4 linked regions of the Rhinolophus ferrumequinum genome follow. The main gene of each other region encodes a partner of the protein of the gene in region 2 in a complex. Links are inferred from orthologs where the notes say so. Each region holds a gene or a part of one and is shown on either strand. Other genes may lie near its edges. The genes, in order: INTS9, INTS2, INTS1 and INTS6.

Region 1 (7,946 bases), on a different chromosome or scaffold from region 2:
GATTATAGCTTATTGTAATGTTTAAACTTTACCCCTCAATCTTTTCTCAGTGATATTCACAGACCTTGATAATCCTTCAGAGATGATTCATTCAACTGCTATTTAGCAGCGTCACACTATGTGTCAGGCCCTGGGAATAGAGAGTCTACAAGAGGGAGGACAGAAATAAATCCAATAATCACAAATGCTACCAAAGGAAGTGTGCCATGGAAGCAGAGAGGAGGGCGTACCTAATTCCACAAAACCATGGAGAAGTGCTATTCAAACAGAGACCTGAAGTATATAAAGAAATTTAGGCAGGCAGAAAAGTGTTGTAGGCAATGGAACATATTTAAACTCCCAGAGGCAAAAGACAGCAGGGAGAGTTCAAGGAACTGGAAGATGTGCAATATAATTGGAACACAGAGAACCAGGGAGATGAGGGCTAGACATGAGCCTGGAAGTAGGCAAGGCCATATTCTGCAGGACCAAGTAAGTCAAGAGCTATAAGACTTTATCCTAAGAACAAAGGAAGCTACTGAGGGAATTATAGAATTCTGCAATTTAAAACAACTTCCGGAAAGCAGGGTAGTGAATGAACTGGAGAGAGGGTTAAAATGGAACGCAGGGAGACTAGACAGAAGGTCTCGTTGAATTTCAAGTGTCAAGTGAAAAGAGTCCCTACAAAGGCAGTATTAGTGGGACTGGAGAGAAACAGACCTGTTGAAGAACAGAAGTAGCATCAACAAGATGCAGTCATACGCTGTGAGTGGGAAGGGTATTTTGGCAAGTCATAATCTCAAAAACAAGAATGTGCTCAATAAAGTATATTTCTGTGTTTCATGATATAAATGTAAAGCACTGCTTACAACATATTCTTGAAGCAGTACACAAAGTGAAAACATTTAGGCCATGGGAGGATTTATACCAACTCTATGGGAGGCGTGTCACACAAAGAGACGTCTAATGAAGTCCATCTTTTTGAAACCCGTTTGCTATGTTGACAGAAATTCTGCATTACCACTTATCCAATCCCAAATGAGTTTTAACATGGAATACATCGATTGAACGTTAAAAAGGAGGGACCATAGACAGAACACCTCCTCTTCCTCTGAGGCATCTTCTGGTTCTTACAGAAAAGAAAATAATTTCTACTTTTTTCCCTTCCATGTTTTCACATCTCTAAAGAAATGAAGCGGGAGGATATTATGAGCAAACCAAAGTATATTGAAAGTAAACCACGGCTCTCTGATAACCTCAGCAATCGAGTTTGTAGGGAAAAACTGCATCACATTTGCATGCCTTCTCACCAGGCACACCAAATGTGATTTATCCTTTCTTGAAGACACATGGTCTGTGCTCCAACCATTTCGGCACAAGCTCTTTTGCTCCTAAACTGAAGATTCAAGGAAGGCCCTCGGCTACTCATCCTTCTTATCAGTTCAAGAGTCACTTTTCCAGGAAGCTGACTGTTGGCACCACGCCCCCCCAGTCCCCGCTCAGCACCATCTCCAATTATCCTCTCAATTCCCCAACCCCTGAAAAGGACTCTGCTTTATCACGAATGCAGTGAATTATAATTTTGGCTTACTTTTCTAACTTCATTAGATGGCATGATTCTTTAGGGCTAGGGTGGTGACTTTCAATTCTGCATTCTTAGGTATTTAGCACACTGACCCAGGAGCAAATTGATAATCTCAGGGTTTCCTGATCTTCATCCTCTTCCTTCCATATAGGACTTTAAATGAAGACAATTTTGTAGTTGAATCTACTTTTAATACTTTTTCTAACTTCTTCTCAGAAAATAGCGACACAGTGACGACACTTGGCTGAGTAAATACATACCCATCACATGGTTTAATGGCCAAAGAGGGGATGAGGGGGATATGTATACTTTGGGAAAACATGTTCAAATAATTATATAAATGGAAAAAGAAAATAAATCTTTTGTTTTTCTATAAAAATCACAGAAAGTAAAGCTTGACAATATTTGGCTGCAGGAACATGATTTTAAAAGGTGTGGCATCTCACACATGCTTTGCTACTCTCCTAATTATGCTATTAATTCCACACAGTTGCAATAAATTAGTTAGGTCTGTGTGCACAATGACAGTAAAATGGCTAAAAAGAAAGGCCTGAGAAGCGTCCCTATAAGCCAGGTGTTTGAGTTTTGTGATGGGAAGACGCCAGGTGTATTGGCACGTTCGTCTAACCTTGGCTCATGAAGCGCCTACAGCCCCAGACTGTAATCTTTTTTTTTTTTAATTTGAAGATCTAATTGGCTTTATTAAGCGATTCATGAATCAGGCAGCCGTCTATCTAGCCACTAGCAGGGCGCTCCTGAATGTAATACGAGTACCTCCTCTCAGCCTATCCATATCCTCCACAGGGTTTAAGACTCAAAGCCTCTAAGAGTACACCCTAACCTCGGCCTTCTCTGACTTCCAAGTGCAATTAGGAATCAATTAGGAACAGAAAACTTAGTAATTACCCTCCTCCCAATATTACCCTTTGCCCACAAATAACCAAATGTTTCTCAACAACGGTAGTGAAATCAAGTGTCAATTGCGTGGAAATAAGTTTATAACCTATTATAACACTCACGTAGCAGCTGAGAAGTCAAAAACCTAGTTCATAAATCCAACCTTAGTTCCTCGGTGAAAAAATGTTACAGGCAACCTCTTATCTAACCAAAGGGACCCACCAAGGATGTGTAAGATCTCCTGATAGTTGTGTATGGGGGGTGGGAGGTGAGGGGTACAGAGGTGTGATTTTTAACCCCCTCAACAACAAACAGCTTTGCTTAGTCCACCCCACTTTCTAGTTTCCTAATTGCCACCCATTTTTCGCGATGGTTCCCTTCCCAAGGTGGAAACGACGAAGCCAAAAGGATATGGCCACTGCCCTCAGTAGGAGCGGAGACTCACCAGTTTCATATTGGACTTTTGATTGTTCAACACCAGTTACTCGACACCTCAAACCCAGAAGCGATCTTCCGGTTCAAGCTCCGCCACTCGCCCGCAGAGAGCATCGCGGGACATGCAGTTTTTCTTCCCTACGCCTCCTTCTCGGGGCATTATGGGATACGTAGTCATCCATGTATCATGGGAACTGTAGTTATCTTTTCTTTCCCTCCCTTCTCTAAATACCTCCTTCCGTCAGCTCAAATTCATCCCCGCCGCCAATTCATCCTCTCCACCCCAGCATGATATCATGTCCCGAGTCTGGGCCTGGGTCCCATGGTATTCTGGGATGTGTAGTTCTCACGGCTCGGGCGCCCCTTTCTCCTCCTCCCTGTGGGAAGGCGGATGGGCGCGGGACTTGCCGGGAGTTGTAGTTCCCTGGGGCCTCTGGACGCTGAGTCGCGCGCTTTTACTCAAGGGAGGCAGGAACTACAACTCCCAGGGCCGCCTGGCTGCAGCAGGTGGGAGCGGGGCTGTTGATATCAATATGGCGGTTGTCAGCCAGACAAAGACAGTCAGTCTGATGTGATTGAGACAAGGGAGGTTTTCAGGGGGAGACTGGGAGATAGGGGCCTCCCCTCCCCCTTCTCCTCTTCCTGCGCGGACCTCAACCCCTCCCCAGTCCCCTCCCGACAGGCGCCCCACGCGGAAGACACCCCTCCCCCTCCCGCCTTCCCCTCCTCCCTATCTCAGCTCTTCGTACCGGGACGTTGGGGAGGGGGCTGTGCCGAGCGGAGAGAACTCAGCAACGATTCCGAGGTGAGTCGAGAGGTTTTCAAGCCGGACTACCTCAAGTCTCTTTCCTCACTTCTTTCTCCTCACTTTTTTTTTTTTTTTTTGAGGGGCTTTGGGGCGAAAGTGAGTGGGCTGGGGATAGGTCTCTTAAGCGGCCCGATTGAGAGGAGGGAGGAATCAGGGGGCTCCCGAATGGTGACCCGGTCGCACCGTCTGGGGTGGGGCAGTTTGTGGGGGGCGGTAATTGAAAGGCGTTGGCAGCTCCCCAACTCTTTGCTCCTGGTCTCCTTCACTATGGGCGGAAGGTTTGAATCCTGGAGGTGGGGTCTCCTATGTGGAGTTTGGGAAACTGTGAGGTGAACCGGAGGTGGGTGGGTTTGTTTGGGGGTGTAGAACTGTTCTAAACTGTGTGACGTGTACTTGTGCGATATGTTAGTCTCGAATAAATGTCTGGAGATGGGAAGTTCGATAGCTGGAGCCATAGCTTTTCACTGGGCCTGGGCAGGGAAGCGGGCGTGAGGTCCGGATCCTGGACTTGTGGGCTGGAGGCGACGTGGTGCGGGCTTAGCAACTCGCTTGTGTCCCGTTGCTCGATCGCACTCCTCCTCCCCGCCTCCGCCCCATGCCCTGGACACATCTCCACCCCAAACTGCCCGCAGGAGCATTGTGGGGACGCGCTGGCGAGGAGATGGAATGTTGCCTCCTGAAGTCGGCAGATAAGGTGGGAAAGGAAAAAGTGTTCTTAATATTTTATTCCGGAACCGTGTTTTGGTGACACTGTTGGGGCTACTTTGAAAGGAGTCCTCCACCCACCCTCACCCCGAAACAGCAGGTAGAGGTAGCTCATCTTCTTCGCGTTAAATAGATTAAACATCACTTAAAAGAGTCGTGGGCATGGGTTGGGGGTCGGGAGTGCTGACAGGTGTAGGCATCTCTGTGTGTCTACGAAAGACACAGAATGACTGTTGTCTGTCCTGAGATAGGGCGACTTATTTTCGTAGTAGGGAAAACTGTTGGAAATTATTTGGAGGTGGGGGTGGGGTGGGGGTGGGGTGGGGGTGGGGGTGCGGGAGTCGCCGAAAGCCGCTGTTGGTGTTTTGCTTCTACCCCACCCTGTTCAGTCTCGCATTTGTCTGAAACCTGGTGTGGAAGAGTGAGGAGGCATTTGGTGAGTGAAGGGGAGAATGCAGTTGGCATGAAAGCTACTATACTATCTAAAGTTGAATCGTATAAAGTGATTGCTTTTTAAATGTACCTTGAAGCTGTAAAAACCCTCGTGTTTCATATGGCGTAGAGTGATGTGACTAGTTCATTTCGCTGGGATCCTGCAGGTATAGAGACCTCAGCCTTCCCTTTTCCTTTCCTCCTTCTTTCCTTCCTTCCTTCCTTCAGTCCTTCCTTCCTCTCTTGGCCTGGTACGTTTCTCTTCCTGGATGGACGTAATGCCTCTTGTGCCTGTTTAGTTTGTGCTAAGACGGTTGTGCTGTTTGTGGTTTTGTGTGTAAAACACATCATTAGATGAAAAGGACCTGCGTCTGTTTTTATTTTGCTTTTAGCCACAGGTAATTATCACATCAAGATGAGAGTGTTTTGCATTAAACTTATTTTAACATTGCACAACTAAGTTAGATTTAGTTGAATTATGTGTACAAGACAAGTTTGGAAAATTCGAATTCTGATTTTTTCCCCCCAAGTTTCCAGTAGAGTTATAAAGGGAACAGGATTGTAACATCTCTTGTTTCTCACAGTCTTTAATATTTGGTAACATTACACCAGGATAATTTAGGATCATATATTTTGTACTTCTTTCTGTCTGAAATAGAAGTTTTTCAGTAACCTTTCTCATGTGACAGATTTTTTAGTGCAATGGACTTTTAAATAACTAAAGCAATTGATATAATTTCTCATTCAACTGTTGAAAATTTAGTGTGTTTACATTTTGGCTCCAAACATCAATTCTTGAACTTATCAGTAAAGGACCTTCGATTCCATAAAAACTGAAAGTCACAGAGATGCAATATATAATTTATGGTGTGTTTTATAACCTTTCATTTGAAATTTCTGCAGTTGATCATTCACACAGATAAGCTGACTCTAAGCATGAGATAGCATATATATTTAGATTGACCTGAATAGAAAAAAAAAATTGATGTCTTCTAAATTTCGAATTTCTAATATAGAATATATTGCTATAAAGCTGAGCCTTTAGTTTGTTAAAGACTAAGATTTCCAGACTTTTTAAACCTTCTATCTTAGACTGTAATATTACTTTGCAAAAATTGGAGAAAAATCCTACATAACTTCACAATAGAGTGGTTTTTTTTTTTTTTTTTTTCCGGGCTGAAAGATACTCTGTTAGACATAGAACATTAAAATATTCAATAATTATATTAGAAATATAAACTAAAATGTTTGTTAAGGATTGGAAAAGATAAGAGTATTTTTTCTTCCACCCACCTTTACCTCAGTTTCTTTTTGTTTTTTTCTGTGGAAATGCAAAGTTATGGGAAAAGCTTTCGTTCAACTTTCTCTGTCTAGTCGTCTGGTTGAAATAATTAAAAGTAAACCAAATATTTTCCTTGCATTTGTTGGGATGATTCTGTTGTATTTTAAGCCCTGAGCATTAAAATGATGTAAAGCCTTTACTGCAGGTTAAAGCATAAAACATTCTCAGCATGTGGAAGTCATATGGTTTACGAAAAAAGTAGAAAATCAGGGCATTGGTGCCTGTCCAGCTGAAGATTTCATCCCGTAACTGTAAAAGACACATTTATTTGAATATGATTGCTTCTAAAAATGCCGCCTGTGTTATGGGAAGTTGAAAATCCAAACTGTTTTTAACCAATCTGTTGCTAGTTAGTGTACTGCATATCGTGAACACTGTGGTTGCAAATGTGCATTAAGAAGCCTTTAGGGGTCAGCTTTACGTTGAATATCTTTTTAGTGAGGCTTCATTTTCACTACTGTAGTAACAGATTTCAGTCTCCTTAGCACAAATCCTTGGGTTAAAGCATCACTAATAGAAACTTAATAGCTCAGTGTTGATAAGTTACAAAGTAGATTGCAACAAATCTCTCCTTTGTTCATCATTTGAAAAATTAGAAGTAGCTAATTTATGGCAACTTTTGTGGCAAGTATTAATTGGAAGTCATTGCTTGTTTCAGTAAATGGTAAACACAATGGAAGTATCTATGCCTAATTTGTTCATTTTGGGTCTTTCATATATTATAATCAGTCTATCCCACTTTTAATGTTTCAGACAGCTTCATGGTTCCTATAAAACCGTGTTTGTTTTTTCTGTTCATTTCACCTCAGCTTTTTTATATTCAGATCTTTAAACTTGAATTATTTCTTTTGGGAATTAGAAATTTATCCTGCAGTGTCATTTTTCATAAATGTAAGTTGGTGTACCCCTCAACTTTTTTAAAATGTCAACATTTATAAATAAAGATGCTCGGTGAAAGAGTGCTGGCTTTGTTTGTTTCATGAACCTTTATTTAGATTTTTTTGTCTCCCGAGTTAATTTTATTATAGTTCCCTTTGCTCTTTGGCTAGATTTTTCTCTTAACTGCTAGCTTCTACTTCTCAATTGAGTAGAACTTTAATTTCTAAAACGGTTGTTATCAGTGGAAGTCCCAGTGTGTCAAGAGTGTTATGTACGTATATTCACATATGCACTCACACATGTACAGCACCTTTATGTTTGTTTGTAGATGAAATTAGTATATACCTATCAAACATACAACCCATACAAAAGGAAGCTGAACCACAAATAACAGGAGACGAGAGAATGGCTCAGGCTAGAAACCAGAGAGAAACCATCACCACATGCTGTCCACATGAGAGAAGCCATGGAGATTTTCATTATCATTGTAAACCATTACTTTAACAGATTCTGCCAAAATCTCATTCTCTCAAAATGGAAGCTATTGGTATGAAACGTTTTTCTCAAAATCATACTAAGTAATATGGGACTTAGATTCCTACGTGCAGCTATTCCCCCCGGTGACCTTTACTGGACTTAAGGCCCATCATAAGTACAAAGATTTTTCCGAGTGATTATTTGACGTAAAACTTTTAGTTAGAGCCTATTTAAACATAATCCAGTGCTTTAGATAACTTGTTTTTCTTGATCTTAGATGAAACAAGTTGGAAATTTACTATAACATTGTCTTGGACACTTTCCAAGAGCATTTAGTTACTGGAAGGCCCTGGCTTTTTTTACCCTTATAGTGGTAATAAGGTTGAAGTTACAGTAAGTTTTTCCAA
Region 2 (6,845 bases):
ACACGTTATGAGAGAATACCTATAACGGTATTAACAAATTCGGTAGCTTATACAAGTCTTGAGCTATAGTACCTTTCTAACTATCAAGAAGCCATTGTATGGGGGTGGCCAGATGGCTCAGTTGGTTAAAGGATGAGCTCTTAACAACAAGGTTGCGGTTCAACTCCTACATGGGATGGTGGGCTGCGCCCCCTGCAACTAAAGACTGAAAACGGCGACTGGACTTGGAGCTGAGCTGCACCCTCCACAATTAGATTGAAGGACAACGACTTGGAGCTGATGGGCCCTGGAGAAACACATTGTTCCCCAGTATCCCCCCAAAAAAAATTTTTTTAAAATTAAAAAAAAAAAAAGCCATTGTATGAACTCCATATTAAAAAAAAGTCCTATGTTAGAGAATGCAGAATAGGCATAAATGAGAGAAAATAGTATTTAAGAGAAAAAAAAGCCTTTAAGGCAGGCCTTTAAGATCCTTTCAAGCCGTTGAAAGGAAAACATACATAATGAATAGGAATGGGTGTAGAAGAGGACAACCTGCCTGCCTTCTTGCCTCTGTTTCTACCTTCTATGTGTAGACATCATCAAATCATGCATATTTTGAGCTGTCATTAAAATAAATGCACCTTGTTCATAATTGCCAACAGTTCACTAAGCACAAGACGCAATCGACGAGGTGAATCACTGTGTTCAAACTCTAATGTCAGTCCATGCTGAAGCTGTGATACCAGGATGCTCTCTCCAGTGCCTCCTCCAAGTTTATGCCTGATAAAGTACAAATGTGTAAAACAATTATGAGAACACTGGTATAGATATAATTGCAGAAAAATTATCTTTTATTGAAATAATCTACAAAAAAGTTGTATAAATTCCTTGCATACATTTCATGACTGAATTACTTCTGAAATACTATTTAGTTTGCCTATTTCAGAAATTCACGAACTATGTAAAGATTTCATCACAAATGATAGTTAACACCCACTGCCATTACCAACAGTGGCTCACTACTGGATTTATAATGGGAGAAAGACAAAATATCTGACCAGAATTTGGGGGGATATAGGCTTAAAAAGCCTCCCAGGTAATTCCAATAAATCCCTCTACTCTAGGGGAACTCAACCTACCCACCTCCCACAGAGAGTAATTGGCCTAATCAGTTTAGCCTGAATACAACAGTGTATATAGTCAAACTTCTCTACACAACATTTTATAACATGGAATTCAAAAGAATTTTAACCATAAATAGACAAAAACAAGTAAAATGCTCTCCAAAGTTTAAATTCTCAATCTTCTCTTTTCTGGAGGGCTGTATCCAATAAAAAGTCTGAAAAGCTCCAAAAAATATTTGATTCCTTCATCTTTGGCAAATCCAACTAAATCCTAGTCCACATATTATATAACTGACATTACCTAAGCTGCTGTTCTTTGCTGGCATCCTGTTCTAAAGCATGGAAGTCCACAGACAACAATGCAACAATGGAGTTGACAGCTTCCACTCCAGAGAGAAGGCGAAGGATGAGTTTTTTATCCTGGGCCCAGCTTTGGCTCTGGTCCGCAGGAGCACAAAGTGCCATCCGCACCAAGCAAGGCAGGAGAAGTCTTAATTCTGGATCACTTAAAGATGCCAAACGAACCACATCCACCTTCTGCATTGCCTCAAAAGCAAAAGGGCTGACAAACTGAAGGCTTGTACACTCAGTCATTATCACTCTTGATCCTAATGGTAAAAAAAAAAAAAAAAGAAAAGAAAGAAAATAGGGGTGTATTCCCACATGTACCAATGCCCCTCTTTTTTTAAACACCCTGAAAAATGTGATCTATCTTTAAAGGGCCCCTATGTTGGCAACAGATTTCTGGAACAAGTACACGCTCCCTCTGTTTCTACCACCATCTGGAAGATGACAAAGAAAACAGAATATATTAATGTCTCTTCCAGCCTTAGGGAGCTTCTTTTCTAATACTCTTATTTCGCAAAGAAGAAATATGAAGCCCAGAGAGATTAAGTAACAAGACCATACACAGTAATATTAACAGTAGCAAAAGCCAAGGATGACCCTTCGTCTACTAAATCCCAGTCCAAGGCTGTCTCCACTACACTGCTCATGAGCGCCACAACTTAGAATAAAAGTAAATAGATGGCATAATTAAGAATGCTCTTCTTCCTACCTCAGTTTCACATGCTTACACAATATATGTAAAAAATGTTCGACTCCAAGAGTCAGCATTGGTAAACTGCCTCAATAGCTAGAAGCAATGGCAGATTCAAAGTTCTGGAGGCCTTAACACTATCCTATGTACCACAGGTAAAAAACAATTGTGGAGGTGCAATTAGCTGTGGAAGAAAGCTGAGTCCCCCTTGGGCACTTCTGTCTTCAGGAGTAATCAGAGACAACAAATAAAAAAATAAAAAGGGCAAGGACCAGTCTGCCAAACCCATCATGGGTAACAGTCGTGGCAGAAACGCTGCTTTTTAGCAAGAGGAGCTGGCCTTTTAACAGAGGGGCGGGCTGATGGAGCAAAGGCGCCAGGCCCCGAGTGCTCATAGGTCTCGACCCGGGCGTAATGAGAACCAACCGGTCCCTCTGGCTGAGAAAAGTCCGACGGGTGGCCGACAAGGGCCGGGGAACGCGCTGAGGCCTGACAAGCCGAAGCTTCATACCTTAAGATCTAAGCTCCAACCTCCCGGGACCCCACACGAACTCCGCACCCTACAGGCGGGACGCGGTAGAAATCGAGAGCGCGGTCCGAAATGGGGCCTACGCGATCATTGGGATTCCCCAACCCTAGCTGTGCCCTGAGTCGACCCCGGCACCAAGAACCCAGACGCCGGGACCAATCGGGTCAGCGGTGCGATGGGAGTTGGGCGGGGACACCGCACAAAGGGAGAACCCAGACTGAAGGGAGCGGAAAGCGGAGACTGCTTCAACCTGCACCCAGCACCTTCATTCATCCCCAGCGTCTGGCTCCCGTCGGCCACCGTACTGGACTGAAAGGAAGGACGGCAGCGAGAGGAAACCCAGAGGCGTCCGCGCTGAGGCATCGGTGCGCCTGCGCGGTCCCACCCCTTCCTCCCCCGCCGTTCACTCTGCCCAATTTCTCCTCCGAAGTACGTTTAGAGCTTGCTACAGGTCCGTTTCCCAGAGCCTATCAGCTGTGTCGTTTTACATACATCATTAAGCCCCTTCGAGCTGCAATTTCATCATCACAGAATTATCGTGGCATTCAAATGATAACGTAGGTTAAAGTTGTACTCACTGTTCTTTGACCGGAACACTAATGGAACCACTCTCTCTGCCTATGTTCCCTCTCAGCACCAAAGTTCTAGAATGCTAGGATTTCGAGGAAAAATTAAAAAGGAATCTAATCCCGAGCCTTCTTCCGCTCTCGACCTCACAGAGTTAAAACATCTGCATTTCAGATGTTTAAGGGTTCTTAATTTACGGTCTGTAGATCCTTAGAGAGCAATGGATGGAGTTTCATTTTAGAGATCGAGTACGTCATAGTTTCCAAGCCTTTGACAGAGGGATAATCTCTAAAAATAGGTCTACTTTCAACATGAAAAATCAGCAAAGGAAAAAAAGAATATGTTGGTTGCAGTGTGTCTCAAATGTTTTTCTGCCTGGCCTCCAGTAATACATTTTACATTGTGCCTCAAAACACAGATGCAGATATACCCGCATTTAAATATGGAACAAACGTTTTATGAAATAATACACATATTGTTATGTATTCTATTTCACTTGACATTTCTGGTCACTACACACAAATTGATTTCACAACTATACAACATTTCCATTTTTAAGATGGTATTTATTAAGGACTTATATATTGAACACTTGCTAGGCACTAGTACTTTATATCTTATAATTACGTGATTTAATTCTGTATTTCCATTTTACAGTTGTGGAAATTGAGACTGAGATTAAGCAATTTAATCTCCCTGGTTGGTCCTTTCACAGAAAGAGTATGAAGAGAATTCAAACACGGGTTTGGGGGATGCGTGAGAAGATGGAAATGAACTGATTTTTATGATCTCTTCCAACTCTAATTTTTTATGACCCTGAAATCATTAGAGAAACATTGCAGATCCATCTTGATCTACAGAGAACAAATCATGTCCAGCCTGAATGAGATAGCTAGAGTGTAATGGTGATGAGTGCTGACACTTATCTTCCTTCAATTCCCCTTTTTCTTCTCTTCCAATTCTTATCTCAGTAAATATCACCACCAACACCAGAGTTTCTCAAGCCATTCCCCTTCATATCCACTTAATACATTTTTCAAATCTACATTGTAGTGTTTGTCAATGGAATCATTTTGACAGTCATACAGAACTCACTCATAAGCTTTTGAGTTTTAGAACTGTATCCTCCGAGGCCGATTACTTAACTATACTAAAATCAATTTATAAAGACTTTTCAGCTCAGATGTTTAATTAGGCCGATTCAGGAACTCCCCGAATGGCAAATAGTGCTACAAATTAGCCCATTTAATTGCCAATAAATCACAAAACCTTTAATTATCTAAGCAGTATCTTACATAATTAGGGTGTACCTTTTCCTGATTGTAAAATGTTTGAGGAAATAACCCTTTTTGAAGACCAATGTAGCACTGAGGCTCATTACCATTTCTATTCACAAAAAAGATGTAATTAATTCTGTGATGACTTTTTATCACATTTTAACATCTCTGAAATTGTGATGTCTTAAAATCAAGTGTGTTAAATTATACTTAGCATTTTTTCTTAGTGTCATATAAAATAATGTCTTACAATTACTGGTGTCTTAGATTTGATGAAACATATTGTGTAGTTCCTACACTTTTAAGTCGCGACTCCTTCGTGGATGAAGTAAACATTCACCTCTGACTGGCTTACTTTGATTTACTCTTTTCTACTTTATTTTTCAGTCTGCCTGGGGAAAGGGAGGAGAAAGAAAAGAAGAAACAAAAAGGAAAAAAATTACCTAGTTTCAGGAGTACTAGGTGCTTTAACGTAGCTTATTGCTGAGTAAATGAACTTCAAGAAATTAGAAGATTGAGGTAAAGGAGGACCAATGTTCTTTGGAAACAAAATCACAGTTTCAAAAGTAAAAGGACCTCAGGAGACACCTAGCTTGTTTTCTCAACATGTAACTCATTCTCCATAGTGTGCCTCTTTTATAAGATTTCTTCCATTGTTTCAGCCTGTCAAGATCTTTTGGACCCTCTTTTACACTGGCTATCTGCTTTGGCTATACAGATCTTATCTTCATTGATTTTATAGATAAAATGTTGACTAGAATAAGATCCCGCCAAGGTTCTATAATATAGCATTAGAGACGCCCCACCAAGTTGACATAGCTCCACTAATCAAGCCTTTTTGGGTATGATTGTTACGCCAATTATGAATCATCCCAAAGGTCAATAAAGGCAGAAATGAACATGTTTGATAGTCAGTAAACAAGACTGACAGTCTTTTATGACTGTTTACAAGGAAGAGTTTGTGGTTTGTACATTTGATTTAGCTATTGAAGAAAAACAAATTCCTTCTGAGTAAGCCACTCAATAGCATTTTTCAGGGTTCCTTTTTTTTTTTCCTTTTTTTCCTTTTTTTTAGTTTCAGGTGTAGAAAACAATGGAATAGTTAGACATTTCATCCCTCACAAAGTAATAACCTCCTTCCCCCAATCTATTTCCCCTCTGACATCGTCTGTATGTTACAATTCCATTGACTATTCCCTATGCTGTACTCCATATCCCGTGACTATATAATTGACATACAAAATTATTCACCTTCAGGTGTACAGTGCAGTGGTCAGGCACAGGGCTTCGTTTTCAATACTGAAAACTACAAATAGTAAAGAAAGGTTGTATGTAGTTGTGTAAGTAAATACCTCCCCCTGCCTCACCCCAAAAGCTTGATTTGCATAGTTATTTTTAGTCATACATGATAGTAAAAAAAATATTTAAAAACTAGAGGTAATATAAACTGAGACAGAAAATAATTTTAAGATAGAAGTTCCAACAACATACACATCCTTTTAAAGAATTATTTTAAAAGTTCTGCTGGCAGAAGCTATTCTAAAATGACCACAATTATGGAGTTTGTCCTTAAGTTTGGACAAAAATATTTAACATGGTCGTTTATACAAAATGGACAGATCTATTTTTGATGGATTGTTCATATCTGAACAACACTTCTTAAGTTTCAAAAACATTTATGTGATCCAAAAATAGGATAGAACTATGCTTTAAATATTTGAAGGTAGCTTGTTTAGACTAGAAAACTGGTATCAAACTGATCAGCCTAGGAGGAATTAGTATGTATGTGCATATACAATTTTCCTATACATTATATGCTGCTATTTGATTAAAATCTATTTTTAAAATAAAATACTTCAGATGGAGAAGTTAAAAGTTCATCAATTAGTTTTTAGGTTGCCCCTCTCCATTTGTAAATGATACAAATGTAATATTGCTATTAATTTTTACACAAATTTAAGATGGAAATATTTTCAACAGAATGAGACACCACAATGAAGGCTTCATGAATAATTTATTCCATTTGAAGTTTTGTTTTTTTTTTTTTTTAAAAAGTATAAACCTTTTCATTTCCTCAATCACAATTTGTACAACTCAGTGTTATGGCATTCGGCAGCAATAGTGTTTGTTCCTTATTCTTTTTTCTGTCACGTTAAAAAAAAAAAAAAAAGCAATTTGACCATGTTAAGTGTCACTGCTAAACAACAACTTTAAAATGCCCCTTCATAAAGTGACCAAGCTATTTTGAGAGTTGATGCTGACACATGTCCAGTAATGACGTTACAATTTATAGTTTAAATTCAGTAACTTTAAGGTCCACAAATCCA
Region 3 (7,163 bases), on a different chromosome or scaffold from region 2:
CAGCATGTGCTTCTCTGAGGCCCTCTCAGAAGTGCCTCGGCTCTGTCGCACATGCCCTTTATGTGGCACTTATTTCTGTTCAGTTTTGGATATTTTCTAATTTTCATTTTATCTTCTCTGACCCAAGAGTTTTTTGAGACTATGCTTCTCAATATCCAAATATGTGGAGGGAGGTATCGTTACTGATTTCTAACTTCATTGCACCAAAGACACCCAGAAACAGTCACTGAATGCTTTCCAGATGCCAGGAAGGAAAGACAGATGGGTGGGACAGACGGACGGATGGACTAGAATTACGGCAGATCCTGCCTTGAAGACATTCCAAGTCCCAGACATGATAAACAGCCCTTTGTTTTCTAAAGATGTTTGTGAAGTATGTTATCGTTCAGAAGGTTTTTAATAACCATATTTTATTTAATTTTCAAAACCACCTTTTACGGAAGGTGATGCTAAAAAAATAACAAGCACAGGTAGTAACTCAAAGAGCTGTGGCCTGAGTTGGACCTCAGCCCGTCAGGGCTCAGTCCTCACCAGCACTGGCCGCACAGGTTAGGGCCCCTGAATCGAAGGTCAAGGTCAGAGGCAGCGCCGCCGGACTCATTCCCAAAGCACAGTCCCAGCTGAGTCCTCGACTCTGCACGTCCTTGGGGCTCCCAGTGCTCCCGCCACCGCTCTGCATGCTGCCCACATGCGCCCGTGCCCTGAGCACAGTCCCACCTCCAGGACACAGGCCTCTGCTTAGTGGTTTCTTCTCCAACATCCCTGACTGCCTCTGAAAATCTGATCAATCCTTCAAGGCCAACGTCACATTACAACTTCCAGATGAGCCTTCTCCTCCCAAGGCTGTCAGCTAAGTACCTATTCCTGCACATCTGGGACCGGCTAGATACCTAACAGGTCTGATCTACAGGATGTCATGGGGTCACCAGAAATAATCAATGTGAAGAAGGCAGAGAAGCAGGGGCAGTTTCAGATGCGTGCAGAACCAGAAGCTTCATGTAAACAATAGGATCAAGGTAAGTTTCAGATTTTCTTCATGTTGTATTAGTATCTTTTTGGCTAAAGGGGAAAAAGGAGGGTGGTAAACTTTTCGTTGTTTGTGTCTGGGGCGAAAGGGAAAAGGAATGCAAACCTCCTCATCCCAGTTAGAGAGGAACTCACGAGGTCGCACAGCCTGAGTGAACAGCACCCGGTCAGCCTCGGCACTGCGTATCCCCAGTGCTTAGAGCAGAGTCTGCCATAAAGGGGGGCCCAACAAACACGTCTGACGGACAAGTGAACCAGAGGAACCAGCCCATTCCAGAGGACAGCTGCTGGCCATCTGCATCGACTCTCACAGCAGCTCCTCCCCAAAGGGGAAACAATCCAATCTGTACAGCACGTCCCAGTGATGAAGCACTGCCATGTGCTTGGTCTGCTCAACTGTAAGAAGCCAGCCTCCCACAGAAGGCCACTGAGGCCGGAGCCGTGATACGCCCAACGTCCACGCCTGCTCCTGCCATGCGGCAGCAGCACATTTGGGCCCCAGACCCAGCCCCTGTCCTCTGCTCTTGCCCTGGTCACGTTCCTCATCCCTGTCCTAGAATTTGGAAGCACAAGTGGGGTAAAGTCCCCTGTGCGAGAAGCACCTTGATGAACAAACTCACAGATGACCCCTGTTCTCCGTTCTCCAAGAACCTGCTAGCCTTACAGCACGAAGCCTGGACTGGGCCTTCACTGAAGCCCTGCTGGGCTGACAAGGTGTGGGAGACATTCTCTGGGAAGTCCAGGGACCAACCTTACCTTCAATTGGGACCACAGATGGTTCTTTAATCGAGGGAGAGATAGCGCGTTTTTCTGCCACTGCGGCCTCAGCCAGGCGCCCCAGGGCACTCAGAGGGGGTGTAGAGGAGAGTTTGGGGCGTTTGGTGAGGCCAGTCAGGGCCGAGGCACCGGCCAATGCGGCCGCAGCATCCCGCTTGCGCTCGGAAGGCAGGCCGGAAGGGGCAGGCTTCAGCAGGGTCGATGCCGTTTTCGAGTCATTGGCCTGACCCTTTGAGCCCAGAGCTATGAAGTCTCCTGGCGGAGGGTGCCCTGCAGAGGAGGGAGGGGAGAAATGTGCACCTTCACACGTCGGTGGAGGTGAATCCAACCTCCCGCTGTTCCAGAGGAGCAGAAACAAGGGTCATGGGTGACAAGAAAACAAGTCGCCCAGCACGTCCACAGCAGAGCTGGGACCAGTATGACGTTAGTAACGACGATGCTGACAGTCACACACGTTTACTACACACCAGGCCATCTCTGATGCACACGCGTTAGTTTGCTTCCTGTTCAACATGTGAGATGGGCATCGTTACTCTCACTTTACAGAGCACAACAAGGCACAGAGAGCCCAGGTGGCGTGCCCACGGCCACACAGCCAGCGAGTGGCCAGGGCTGATCTGCGGCCAGCCGGGCTCCAGTCTGCCTGCAACCACCCGCCTCCGGGCCCGGGAGCTCCTTCAGCTACTTTTTACTGCCTGCGATGCAGGACGAGACCAGCAGTGTCCTGGAGACAGTCACAGCTGTCCCAACTCTCCCTGGGACTCAGAGAGCCGCCTCGGACCAAGGGCCAGGCGACCCCCGATCCCTGAAAAACGGTGGCCGGCGAGTAACTAAGGCCCCGCCGCCGCCGCAGGCAGGAGCCGCGCACCTGAAGGCTTGGCCGCAGCGCTGGGCCTGCGCACGGTGGTGGGCTTGGCTCGGTTCATTCCGGCCCCTTCCCCTCGCTGCTCCTCGCTGTGACGCGTCACCCGGGAGAAGACCAGCGCCGAGGCGGTCCTCCACTTGCTCGCTCATTCATTCGTTCCTCTGCCGCTCGGGGTCTGGGGGCGAATGGGCCCCGCCGGACGGAGCGAGTCCGAACGGGCCGCGTGAGCGCCGCCTCGGATCCGCCGGGAGAGTGGATCTCGCCGGCTGCCGCCGATCTCCTACAAGTGGCCCACGGTACCCAGCGCCCCACCACCACCCCGGCCGCCCCGGAACCGGAAACCGACCTCACAGACCCGACTTCCGGGATAACCGGAAGCAAAACAGCGCAGCGAGAGGAGGGCGGGCAGGGCGGTGAGATGGGCCACGTCGCCTGCTCGGTGCCTGCAGCGCCCTCTGGCGACGGGAGTCCGGAGGGGCCTCTCTGCCGCTTGTGTCTCTCCGGAGAGGAGGCAGCTGTCACCCTCTTTTTCTGCAGGTGAGGATGATGTGATTTAGTGACGTGCCCAAGGAAACACGGCGAGGAAGGGTAGCATCGGGGTTCAAATACACACGTGCTGGTCCTTCAGAGTCCTGCTCTCCCATTTATGGCTCAAGGGGCAGGTTCTGGGGTCCCTAAGGTGGAAGGCTAGGAGGGAGCCCAGGGACCAGGAGTGGGCACAGTGCAGAAGAGCAGGAGGGGCCTACAAACTCCAGCCCGTCCTCGGGGCATGGAGGCCAAGCCCTAATCAGAGTCGGTGTCCTGGCCTGCACAGTGGGTCACTGTCATAGTCACCAAGGCTCCTGATGCAGAGGACGGGGGCTCCATGCTGACGGAGACTCTCATGCCCTTCTGTGCTAAGGGTCTCACCCATCCTAGAGCTTCTCAGCAGTCCTGGGGCTTCTTGCTGTAGTCCACGTCCCACCAGGAACAAGGAACTGAGAGCAACAGCCCTGCCTGCAGCCCGGCCACTTGCTGGGTGACCTCCTTGTGGGAAAGCCCTGAGGGCTCCCTCAGAGCTCAAGCCCGCGTGAAAGGAGACGGATGCAGGTAAAGACATAGCACATTCCCAACAGATCACGCGCTGCAGAAAGGCCGCTGGCATAGGTAAACAGCACTGGGCGTGGGTTAAAGCTGTGAAGCATCGTGTTGAGTGACTACTGGCAGCGAGGGGAAGCTGAGCTTTGGAGGGAGCAGAGGGAACGGGGCAGAGATCAGATGACAACTCACAAAAGGTGGTCAGCGTCCATGCACTGGACCAGCTGTGTCTGCTGGCTGGTAACGGTCAAAGTCAGGGGTGCGGCAACCTGGACTGTCAGTGCAGCCACGGGGCGTCCCGTCAGCGCTCTTCTCAGAAGCTGCTGCAAAAGGACCAAACAACCCTTCTGTGATGGAGCAACACAGTCCACGGTCAGCAGAAAAGCTGGTTATAGACCAGTGTATAGTAAGTGACCGCCTCTATCTAAAAGTAGACAAATTCTGGAAAGAAATACACCCAGTGGTTCCCGAGGTTACAGGGAGGGCAGGCCATGCAAGCCATCCATTCGCTCTGTGTTTCAGTATTGCAATTATGTGAATTGTTTCCACTAGGAAAAGAAGAAGAGTGCACTTGTCCTGTGGGGCTGTCACGGGATCTTCCCTCCCATGGCCGGCCGCTCAGGTCCCAGCCTTCCCTGCCCAGGACAAGTCAGGCAGGGCGGCGGCCAGTGCTCTGCCTGTGCTGGCCCCTCCTTGGCTGGCTTTCTCTGCTCTCTCTCACTGGACAATCTCCTCCTCATCCTTCAAAGCCCAGCCTCCCAGCTACGTCCCTTCCTCCGTGAAGCCCTCAGGCTGCCCCACCCCAGCAGGCAGTGGATGCTTGTCTACTGGCCCCTCTGTCATGGACATTTGCTGTGCTCAGGGGCAGTGCCTCCCTAGGACCAGCTGGCAGAGCAAAGCCTAGAGAAGCCTGGCTGCTTGGGTCTGGGTATGGCAGTCAGAGGGCGTGGGGTCAGATGGACACTTCACTAGCAGCTCTGGAGGACTGTTTCCCCTGAGGGGTCAGCCTAGCCAGCCCAGGAAGGAGGAAGAGCAGCGAGGGGCCTCAGTAGCTGCAGTTCGTGGGGGACACCAAGGCTCCCCACAGATGCCTCTTGTGTGAGCTCCCTGGGGTGGCTGTACCGCACCCCAGACCAGGTGGCCTGATTCAGCTTGAGACGAGGTGTTGCAGGGCACTCCCTGCAGAGGCTCTAGGGGACCGTCCTTCCTGCCTCCATCGTTGTCATAGGGCCATCTCCCTTTGGTGTGTGTGTCTCCTCTTCTGGCTCTTATAAGGACACTTGTCATTGGATGTAGGCCCACTCTAATCCAGGACGACCTCAATCCTTATGATGTACAAAGAACCGATTTCCAAATAAGGTCCGTCCTGAGGGTCCGTGTGGGTGCTGCAGCTCTGCACCAAGGACCCTAGGCCTGGGATCTGCCTCCCTTCTTCTCGCTGCCCTGTCCCAGCACCACGGTCTTGTTGCAGTTTCTGGAACCCGCCTTTTGCTCATCTCAGGGCCTGTCCTCATGCTGCTCCAGTGTCAGGACCCTCAGGCATTCCCATGGCCCCTTCGCCCTGCCTGGCCTTCCTCTTGCCCTGTCCCTATAACCACGGCCCCAGCCCCCACTGGACACCTTCTTTTAGAACACTGCCACCCCTGGGATCTTGTTACCCCCCTATTTGTCTCTTTCTTTATGGCCTGCCTCCCTGCCCAACGTAAGCCACCAGTGAGCCACCAGCCGCACCTGGTCTGCCCGTCGCCTGCTGGACCCAGAGGCCCTGCCACAATCAGTAGATGTGTGTGGGATGAGGGAAGGATGAGTGTGAAGCCTTCAGCCCGGAAGGTCCCATACAGGAGCCATAATTGTTAGGAACTAGGTTCTCGGTTTGGCATGGAGGGAAGTATCAGGCCTCGGACCCCCACGGTCCCTGGTCGTCTTTGCTGTGACCCCCCCAGCCACAGTGAGAACCTTCCCCCCCTCTTTGGCCTACTGACTGTGTGGTGGGCTCCCCCTCACTGCAGGAGGGAGTTCCTGCAGTAGAAAGCAGCCTGGGGCAGCCAGCAGGGTGGGGACAGAGTGAGCAAGGACTTGCCCCAGGCCCCCAAGGGGAGATGGGTGACGTGGCAGGTCTGCAGCTGCTCGGGTCTAACGGCTTCTGGGCCAGGAAGCAGCTGCTCCCACCTGCGTGGCCTGGGCCCAGGCCTCCCTGCGCGGGTCAGGTGTCCCTGCCCAGCCCAGGTCTGGCACTTCCCAGCACTGTGGGGGGTGGGGGTGAGGTGAGGGACTCTGGGGAACAACCGCAGGGTGCCTGTGGGGCTGGTCGTCTCCCACCTACCTCGTCCCCTAAATGTAGTAAGTGCTTCACCAGTGCTGGAAGCCCCACAGCAGCTCAGTGACAGTTTCAAAGCAGTGAGTCAGCAGTTATCAGGACTCAGATGCCCTTTCCTGGGCGGCACGGGAGACCCATCTACATTCAGATGGAGGTTTCTAGAATTTCCTCTGTTGATGAGCATTCCTGGGAGGGGCAGGTGGGTGCGGTGTCACCGCTGGAATCTGCCAGGAGATGCCACTGGGCTGAGGCTCTCGGCCAGAGCAGGAGGAGGCGACAATGACTTCTCATGGGCCGGTGCCCAGGACCCTGGCCGCTGGACGGAAGCTCCAGCAAGGCAGCCTCTGGCGGGAGGCGGGGAAGTGCTTTCCAACAATTGTCTGAAAATAGACCAGGCCGGCTCACGAGGAAATGAGTCCCCCATCACGGGAAGGGAGCAAGAGAGAGCAGGAAGACTGCTTCGCAGGGGGTGGACCTAAGGTCTCTGACCCCGAGAGGCCCTGAGTCCTCCAGTTTTTGGATGACGGGCACCCCAAATGTTTGGGGATGTGAAGCTGAGGAAGCAGGACTAGGGCACCAGCACCTCACCTGCCCCCCAGGTGTGCTGCTGTGGGAAAAACTGCGGCTCGCCAAAACAGGACTTCCAGGGGTGTGCCTGGGGTGCGCTGGGCACAAGCTGACTGGGCGGGAGACATTCCCTCCCACTGACACCTGTGCCCCCTCGGCTGGACCAACCCCCTCAGGCCTCAGTTTCCCTTTCTGTTCACTTAGGCTCAGGCAAGCAGCTCTGGGGCAGGAGGGCACTGGGACGACCTGATTTTACCTCTTCTGTCTCACTGTCCCTACACGATCAAAATGTCCCCAACACTGTTGTGGGGAGGGGACGGGGTGCTACAGAGAATTTTGTTTCCCTGTTTTAGCTTGTTCAAGTTTCCTGCAAAGAGCATATACTATGTTTGAAATTAGAAAAATATCCTCATGCACTTGCCTTAAAAGTAAATAAATAAATATCCCGGAAACCCAAGCCATGTCCTAATCGTGGTTCCCAGGCAATGTTTTTCACTGAGAATCGCCACCACCAACTCACACTACAGCAGTGTC
Region 4 (6,834 bases), on a different chromosome or scaffold from region 2:
GCTTATGGAATTTGGGAAAAGAACAAAATGTATACCTAAATGTATCATTGTGGTAACAGTGCTTTGCACTACAGCATAAAAAGTGAATTCCTTGGGTTTAATACTTTTATGTGTAACATTACACATTCTTCAGTATCTTTTATTTTCCAGGCCAGCAATCTCAAAAAAAAAGTTACAGTGGACCACCTTACATTATTCCATAACGAACCGTCATGTGATTTAAAGCTCCTGTCTCATCTTCAAATAGATAAAAGCAAGTGTGGATGGAAGGGGGGCATTAAGGAAGGAAGGAAAGGTTCTTTCATATTTTCAAACAGCCTCTTTTCCAAGAGTTTGGAGTTAAAAATAAATAAATAACCTCTGGACCTGCCATTTAATTCAGGAATGAATTCAGAATCCTTCCTGCATAGTTGCTTATTATATATGCTTCAAAAGCTGAGAAATCTTCATGTATTCAGCCAATTATGACACTTTAATGAAAATCTTACCTTTCAGAGTAGTTGTACACTATGGTTAAATTAAACCCTGATACAACAAATAGAATAATTTCCTCTAACGTTTTTAGTACTATATAAATGAAGACCACTAATCAACTAGTGTCTATAATTCATTGCAGACTAACTGCCTGTGGATAGAGTATCAGAGAAACTGTGTGGTGAGGCAGGATGTTTTCCCTTTTATGCCCTGAGTGCAAAGTATTAAAACCAATTTATGTCAATCTTATAGCAAAGAATTCAGATTCTAATTCTGAATGCAAATATATTTTAAGAAAAAAAAGGCTATAAAACCACATACAGTTTAGTCAGTTTCACTTTTGTATTATGTGTACAGTGTATTTTAATCTGAAATGTTTTATACTTGTATTTCATGTTATGTAGTTTTGGACTGGACTGTGTTTTTCCACAAAAAGAAAAATCAACTGTTTTTTCCACCTTAATATTCAACCTACCTGCCCATAGTTGTCTATGCCAGTTACTAATCTATTTAAATTTAATAAATCAAAAGCTGTCCTTAGGGATTGGCCAAGAGTCGTAAGTCCTTCAGCCTGAAGGTTTTTCAGTTCATTCATAAACGTTGCATGGTTTTCTTTCCACCCGGCCTGAAAAGAAAAATTTAAGACTTTTTTTTATTTTTTAAAGCTTTGCATACATGGACAGCCATTACAATCTGTGGTTCATCAAGTAGCTGCTTCACTTTTCAGGATGGTTTGGTTAATGATGTGTTAAAATCGTATCATTGCTGAGGAAACTCTCTTCCAAAGGTGGCCAAGAATAAACCTGTCTGCGCTACTGCTTTTGGTAGCTAACAGGATAACTACTTTGGAACTTCTCTGGGAAATTTACTTCTAACCTAATACCCAAAATTTGGGGATGCAAAGTGCTAGTGGAAAGCAGACATGAGGACTTCTGAAGTTAACCTACAGCTGTCCCACTGGCCCGCAGCCCTCTAGGGAAGAATCCGAAGACCAAGCCCCGCAGCCTCCTAACCGGCTCACTCGCCAGCAAGGGCGAGAGCGGCCAAGCCTCGGGCCGATTCCCCTTTAATGCAAACCCGGGCTCGGCGCGGCCCGGCCCGGCTGTCACTGGGGCTAACTTGAATAAATATCCCCCACAGTTCATTGCTGCCGCTCACGCCGCGGAGGGGAAATGTCGGCCATGTTGATCGCAGCGCCGCCGCCGCTGCCGCCACCGGGCCGGGCTGGGGAGGGCATGGCGGTGGCCCCGCGACTCCGCGCCGCGCCAGGGCGCTCCGGAGCGGGGGAGGGGGTGGGAGCCCGCAGGGGAAAAGACTTCAGCTCCTGGAGCACAGCGGGTGGGGGAGGGGAGCATAATGAAGGGTGAATGGGGGGCGGGGAGGGCGAGCGAGGAAGGAACTGGGAAGGGAAGGGGGAGGGCGAGGGCTGTTACCTTGATAGCATAGGGCGGCTCTTCGAAAGTGACCAGCATATACCTGTCTCCTCTGCTGGCAGGATCCCGGGCACGGAGCTGCGGGAGAGCGGGTGGGGGACGGGAGAAGAAACAGGGCGAGCGAGAGGGAAGCACAGAGGCGAGGTTACTAGGCGGAGAAGGGGTGCCCAGCGGCCCCACCGCCCCCCCACCCCCAGTACCGCACACGCAGCGGCCACCCCCTCACGCCGCCCCCCACACACAGATCGGCCCCAACACACCTCCCGGGGCCGGAGCCCGGGCCCCGGCCGAGCCCCGCTCGCAGCGCCCGCCCGCCCGCGCGGTGGGGGAGGGGGTCCCCGAGCCCGGCAGCTCCCGCAGTCAGGTCCCCGACACCTCCGCCTCGCCGCCCCCGGCCGCCTTCCCTGCCACCCCAGCCGCCCGCGGGCCGCCGGGCCGGGATCGCCGCCCGGGCTCGGTCAGTCGGTACCTTCATGAAGGTCTCTACCGCGCCTTTGGCCGTGTCCAGGTAGGTGGTGCCCAGATGGCTGCGCTGGTTCATAGAGGCAGACGTGTCTATCAGGAACAGTAAGATGGGCATAGTGCTGGCCGGGGACACCGGGGCCCGAGGTGGTAGAGAAAGAGATGGTAGAGGTGGAGGCGCCGGTGGCGGCGGCGGCGACCGCCGCTACGCGGGGCGGGGGAGCGCGGCCCCCGGGAGGAAAACACCGTCTGGGTCTTTCCTCCGGCTGCGGGGAGTTTCTCCCCCGATAGTTGAGAGGAAACTCCCAGACCCAGTCCTCCCCGTCGTACCCCCTCCTCCGCCTCCTCCTGCCGGCCTGCCCGCTAGGGCGGGCGCCCGGCCGTCTGTCTGTCGGTCCGTACTCCCCGCCTCGGGGGTCCCGTCCCCGCTCCCGGCCCCTGTGTGTGTCCCAGCGGGAGACGGGCCTGGCTCCCCACCCCACCCCCGGTGCAGGGAGTGGGGACCTGGGAGCTGGCGAAGAGGGGAGTGGGCTAAGGGGAGATTGGCCCTGGGGCTGTTGGGAGAAGTTTCAGGGACTCCCTCCGCACCCCGGCTGTGTCACCACTTTCTCAGCCCCTCTCGCTACTGAAGCGCTTTTCTCTCTCACACTCCGGTTTTAACTCGGGCAGGGGCTGCAGCGGCTCCGCCTCCTGACACGTCCTCGCGCCACGTGACGCACCGCCCCGCAATTCAATTCGTTAATCTCTAGCCTCTTATTAGCATATTCAAACAGCTCAGGGGAGGGAGAAGCTTGTAGGCCGGCTCCGAGAACTGTTATTGAGCACGCGCGAAGGCGGGGCGTCGGGTGCGCGCGAGAGCGATCGCGAGGGCCGAGCAGGCGGGTCGGCAGACGCGGAGGCGGGCTCCGGGAATGGGCGGGGACGGACCGCGGAAGGATCGCGGGGGGGGGGTGGGAGCCGCGTCGGCGCGCGCAGGACAGCAGCGGCTGAGTCTGCGCGTCAGTGCTGCCGGCCTCTCCTTGGCTGTTGGAGGTGATAGGGGTCGAGGGAGGGGAAATGGAGGCTCGCTTCATCTCCCCTTCCGAGGTCGCTGTAGCGAGCCCCTTCCCTGGTGGGCACATGAGGAGGGGATAAATATAGGATCAAACGCCCAATTAGGGGAAGGCGGCAGGCCAGCGGTCTCCGGAAGAGGTTCCTTGGTCTTCAGAGGGCCGGCCTCAGCGTAGGCGGACCCAGAGCGGGGGAAGGGAAGTGAGAGGTTGTTTATGACGAGGGACTAATCTCCGCGAGTCACAGCGCTCCCGCTGGGGAGTGGGGACGAAAGACAAACCTCACCCGCAGCTCCGCTCAGCCTTGGGGAGCAGCCGGGGTGAGGGCTGGACTCGGAGCAGGCCAGGACCCCTCTTGTTCGAGGACCTACCAAGAAAGGATTCAACCCACTTTTTTCAAACAGCCCCAAAAGGGGATGGGAAAAGAGTTCAATATCGACAAACAGTTTGTTGCCCATTTTATTCTTAGGGGAAAATAACCGGTTCTACCCAACGAAATACTTCTCTCAAACCTTGTTTACTTAAGGGCCATAGAATACCGATTTCAGAGCTAAAAGGGGCGGTAGCAAACCATAATGAATTACTCTTTATTTTTAAATGAAAAAACTGACTTCAGCTTGCCCAGGTGACCCAGAGAATGGGGTTCCCATAACCCTGTCTGTGCTTTCCTTTCACTATTTGCTGCCTCTCACACTCATTTCAAATACAGTATGAGGGAAGGCGTTCTAGGTTAAAACAAGCCTCAGTCGTCATACCTGAAGTAATGAATCCTCTACACTAGTTAAAAAACTGAATACTGCCTGAAATACAAGTTGAATTAGGGACATAATAGTTCTCATAAGACTGTAGGATTTTTTTAGGGCCTCTCTTACTAGGCCTTGCATTGCGTGTTTTTTTGTTTCACTCTTCACGCTGAAATTCTTTACTGATCATTTTAAGAAGTAGTTCCTGTTAACACTGAAGAGACATGCTTTGTGGCCCTTTTTAAAAATCTTCACTTTCATAACTTGGACTCTTCCTAATATTTAAAACAACCTCTGAACTTTTAGTTTATTGTAGGGCTATTTCAGTAATACGCTGTCCTGTGAGTGTGTGCCATAGAAGAGAGATTTTTAAAGAGATTGGGACTGCTAAATAAGATGAAATACAGGTCTTACATGCAATATTTGCTGAGGACCCCAGGTGGAGTTAAATGATTAAAATATGGTCCCTGCCTTCAAAGAGCTTATAGTTTTTCTAGAAAAATACTACATTAGTATTACTAGCTACTACAAGGCAGAAGTGATTAGATACTAAATAACTCAGAAAAGAGAAAATGTATTACCCTGGGGTGATGAAAGAGCATTTTCCAGGGTCAGTATGTTTAAGCTGTGCCTTAAAGCAGTGTTTCTCAAACTGGGGTCCTAGATCTGGAGCTAAGACTCAGAATTCTTTGATGCTTTAAAATTTTTGTTTTCATTTTAACGACAATATACAAATTGTTTTACCAGTTAAAAAATATATATATATTTTTTTACATATATATATTTTTTACATATATAATATATTTTATATATATATTTTATATATAATAATATATATATATTTTTTTTAACGTGATAATTGGCAACTGATTTTCATGGAATTGGTCTACAGTTTTTCTATGTCAGTCCTTTTCAAACTGTGGTCTATGGACTCCTGCCTGTCTAAAAATGTATTCTATAGAATCATAAGAATTTATTTTACATTACTCAGGTTTGAGAAATACTCCTTTAAAGGATTTGGATATATGGGTAGAGGAAGAGGAAGCTGCCAATGAAAAAGTCCTAGACATTTAAAATGTAGTGAAGAAAGTTAGCACAGCATTGTCAATGGCTTTCTGGGAAACAGTGAAGTACATACAGCAAGACTGCCGCACCAGCTACACAAAGAATAGGATAACATCCTGAAAGGTAGGTCATGTCTAGACAGTAGAGAGCCTTTATTCCAGGCTAAGGATTTTTGTTTCCGTATAAATGAGAGTTTTTAGATGGGGTGCTGGTACAAAGCAGTGTTTGAAGGGAATCAAACTAGCTTACTGAAGTGGGTGACCATGCTTTACAGTTACTACCTTATTGCAGTTATTTGAAGTCATTTTCCATGGAGCCATCGCTCTTTCTTCCCTAACTTGGGAGTTGGCAGATTGTCATACTAGGGTCATAAGTGGAGGTGTATGGTAAAGCCAGGATTAGATACAAAGATCAGGACAGCTAATTACAAAGACTAAACAGTGCGAGAGATTCCCACTGTTTTTCTTGGTGACTTTAGGCCTTGGGAAACATGAGAAACATGAATCTCTTTTTTTACTCAATCCCTGTGATTCTAGAAAGATTCTGGTTATATGCAACTTATTTTTCTAAAACATGGCTCCTAAATGCAAGCCAACTATTTCATCAGACTCAACTGAAGAAGTGGTGAGCTCTTGCAATGCTAGAGAGAAAACTAGTTGGAGTAGTGTGTGCTAAGCCCTGTGCTGTTGCAGTCTAGGGAATTAAGGAAGATTTTTCTGGGAGGGCATTGGTCAACAGAGATAAGTGGGAGAAAACTTGCTCTTTACTGCTGCTTTTAAAGGAGTGCTGCCCAAATGCTGTGGCTCCCATTTAAAAGAGAATGAATAAATTTTATGAAACCCTCTGAAAGAATGGTGACTCGGGCTTAACAATAGCCTAAATTGTGTAAATAGAGCTATTCTAACGGAATTGAAAAAACTGATGAATTAGATTGATTTGTAGAAGCCAACCAGAGCCCTTTTAAATTACTTTAAACCAATTAAACAGGGTAAACACGGTTTAAAAATAATTATGTGCCAATGACATGGCTTATGGTTTCTGGATGTGCCATCTGAACAAAATAATCAGATTAGTGTTCATGTGTAACCTAACAATGGTTCTTTTGGCTCACTTACCATTTCCTTAGCTCTCTGCTTTTTACTCTTTGAGATCACAAATAGTCAATGATGTTGAGAGGTTGAGAGCATCAAAAAAATGACGTAATAAGCATAAAAAATTAGATGTGAAACTATGCAGCAGAATGTATTCAGGTAATATATATACAAGAAAATGTATTTTGGTCATCCTAATATTATATAATATCAATCCTCAGGAAAACATGCTGCTAGGGACTACTATTAAAAGGAATTAGACCTTTCCATTGAGCAGTATTTCACAGTAATAGTTGAAGTTTGAGATAATTCAAGATCAGTTCTGAAAGTGACATATCCAAATTGAGAATGAGAATCACAGTAGAACAGTTTCTCTAGCAAAAGAGCATGAAAATTGCAATAATTTTTAAAATTAATATTAATTGCACACCTATATGACAGGCACTATGGTAGGCCATAGAGAGTTTATAATCTAATGGAAAGACAGAGGCAGATAAACAGGTGATGAGAATACACT

The links.
Region 1: INTS2 (region 2) and INTS9 share a complex: the UniProt entries of both Homo sapiens proteins name them as parts of the integrator complex. The link is inferred for Rhinolophus ferrumequinum from reciprocal best matches to the Homo sapiens genes INTS2 and INTS9.
Region 3: the proteins of INTS2 (region 2) and INTS1 are in contact, whole or in part, in a cryo-EM structure (PDB 8RC4), measured with the Homo sapiens proteins. The link is inferred for Rhinolophus ferrumequinum from reciprocal best matches to the Homo sapiens genes INTS2 and INTS1. Residues at the interface, in NP_065799.2 of Homo sapiens: Pro40, Leu54, Lys69, Leu72, Arg73, Leu75, Ser76, Gly77, Val78, Glu79, Val81, Asn82, Val85, Gly125, Thr127, Leu128, Glu131, His132, Glu166, Val172, Tyr173, Glu176, Arg322, Gln325, Gln326, Arg329, Gly400, Lys402, Thr769, Met772; in NP_001073922.2 of Homo sapiens: Gly561, Ile562, Ala563, Trp564, Asp565, Lys566, Gly567, Ser982, His1055, Met1056, Thr1058, Pro1060, Glu1095, Arg1096, Thr1098, Ile1099, His1102, Leu1107, Arg1225, Ser1250, Phe1251, Gly1252, Ile1253, Tyr1285, His1288, Glu1291, Val1292, Gln1293, Glu1295, Arg1296.
Region 4: the proteins of INTS2 (region 2) and INTS6 are in contact, whole or in part, in a cryo-EM structure (PDB 8RBZ), measured with the Homo sapiens proteins. The link is inferred for Rhinolophus ferrumequinum from reciprocal best matches to the Homo sapiens genes INTS2 and INTS6. Residues at the interface, in NP_065799.2 of Homo sapiens: Ile855, Asp856, Pro857, Leu858, His895, Arg923, Glu925, Leu926, Lys927, Ala929, Leu930, Ala932, Ala933, Gln934, Ser936, Ala937, Gln940, Ile941, Glu944, Asn1010, Lys1013, Leu1014, Phe1017, Gln1018, Gly1019, Tyr1020, Pro1021, Ile1046, Ala1047, Gln1048; in NP_036273.1 of Homo sapiens: Ile484, Val486, Arg487, Ser488, Arg489, Phe527, Gln528, Val529, Ala530, Leu531, Leu532, Asn533, Phe541, Arg542, Asn543, Ala544, Tyr545, Ile547, Arg549, Leu552, Leu553, Leu556, Met559, Arg560, Asn562, Leu563, Leu564, Lys565.

The regions. Positions count from the first base shown.
Region 1 is NC_046301.1:29,853,041-29,860,986, forward strand, and holds the start of INTS9 (integrator complex subunit 9), read right to left. Parts: upstream 3,002-7,946; 5' UTR 2,916-3,001; coding exon 2,907-2,915; intron 1-2,906. UniProt on the Homo sapiens protein: Component of the integrator complex, a multiprotein complex that terminates RNA polymerase II (Pol II) transcription in the promoter-proximal region of genes.
Region 2 is NC_046304.1:25,988,860-25,995,704, forward strand, and holds the start of INTS2 (integrator complex subunit 2), read right to left. Parts: upstream 3,010-6,845; 5' UTR 2,948-3,009; coding exon of another isoform or gene 2,944-2,947; coding exon 2,925-2,943; exon of another isoform or gene 2,657-2,924; intron 1,715-2,656; coding exon 1,408-1,714; intron 763-1,407; coding exon 624-762; intron 1-623. UniProt on the Homo sapiens protein: Component of the integrator complex, a multiprotein complex that terminates RNA polymerase II (Pol II) transcription in the promoter-proximal region of genes.
Region 3 is NC_046307.1:43,930,740-43,937,902, reverse strand, and holds the start of INTS1 (integrator complex subunit 1), read right to left. Parts: upstream 3,003-7,163; 5' UTR 2,730-3,002; coding exon 2,672-2,729; intron 2,074-2,671; coding exon 1,783-2,073; intron 1-1,782. UniProt on the Homo sapiens protein: Component of the integrator complex, a multiprotein complex that terminates RNA polymerase II (Pol II) transcription in the promoter-proximal region of genes.
Region 4 is NC_046287.1:86,291,255-86,298,088, reverse strand, and holds the start of INTS6 (integrator complex subunit 6), read right to left. Parts: upstream 3,002-6,834; 5' UTR 2,488-3,001; coding exon 2,377-2,487; intron 1,986-2,376; coding exon 1,908-1,985; intron 1,100-1,907; coding exon 950-1,099; intron 1-949. UniProt on the Homo sapiens protein: Component of the integrator complex, a multiprotein complex that terminates RNA polymerase II (Pol II) transcription in the promoter-proximal region of genes.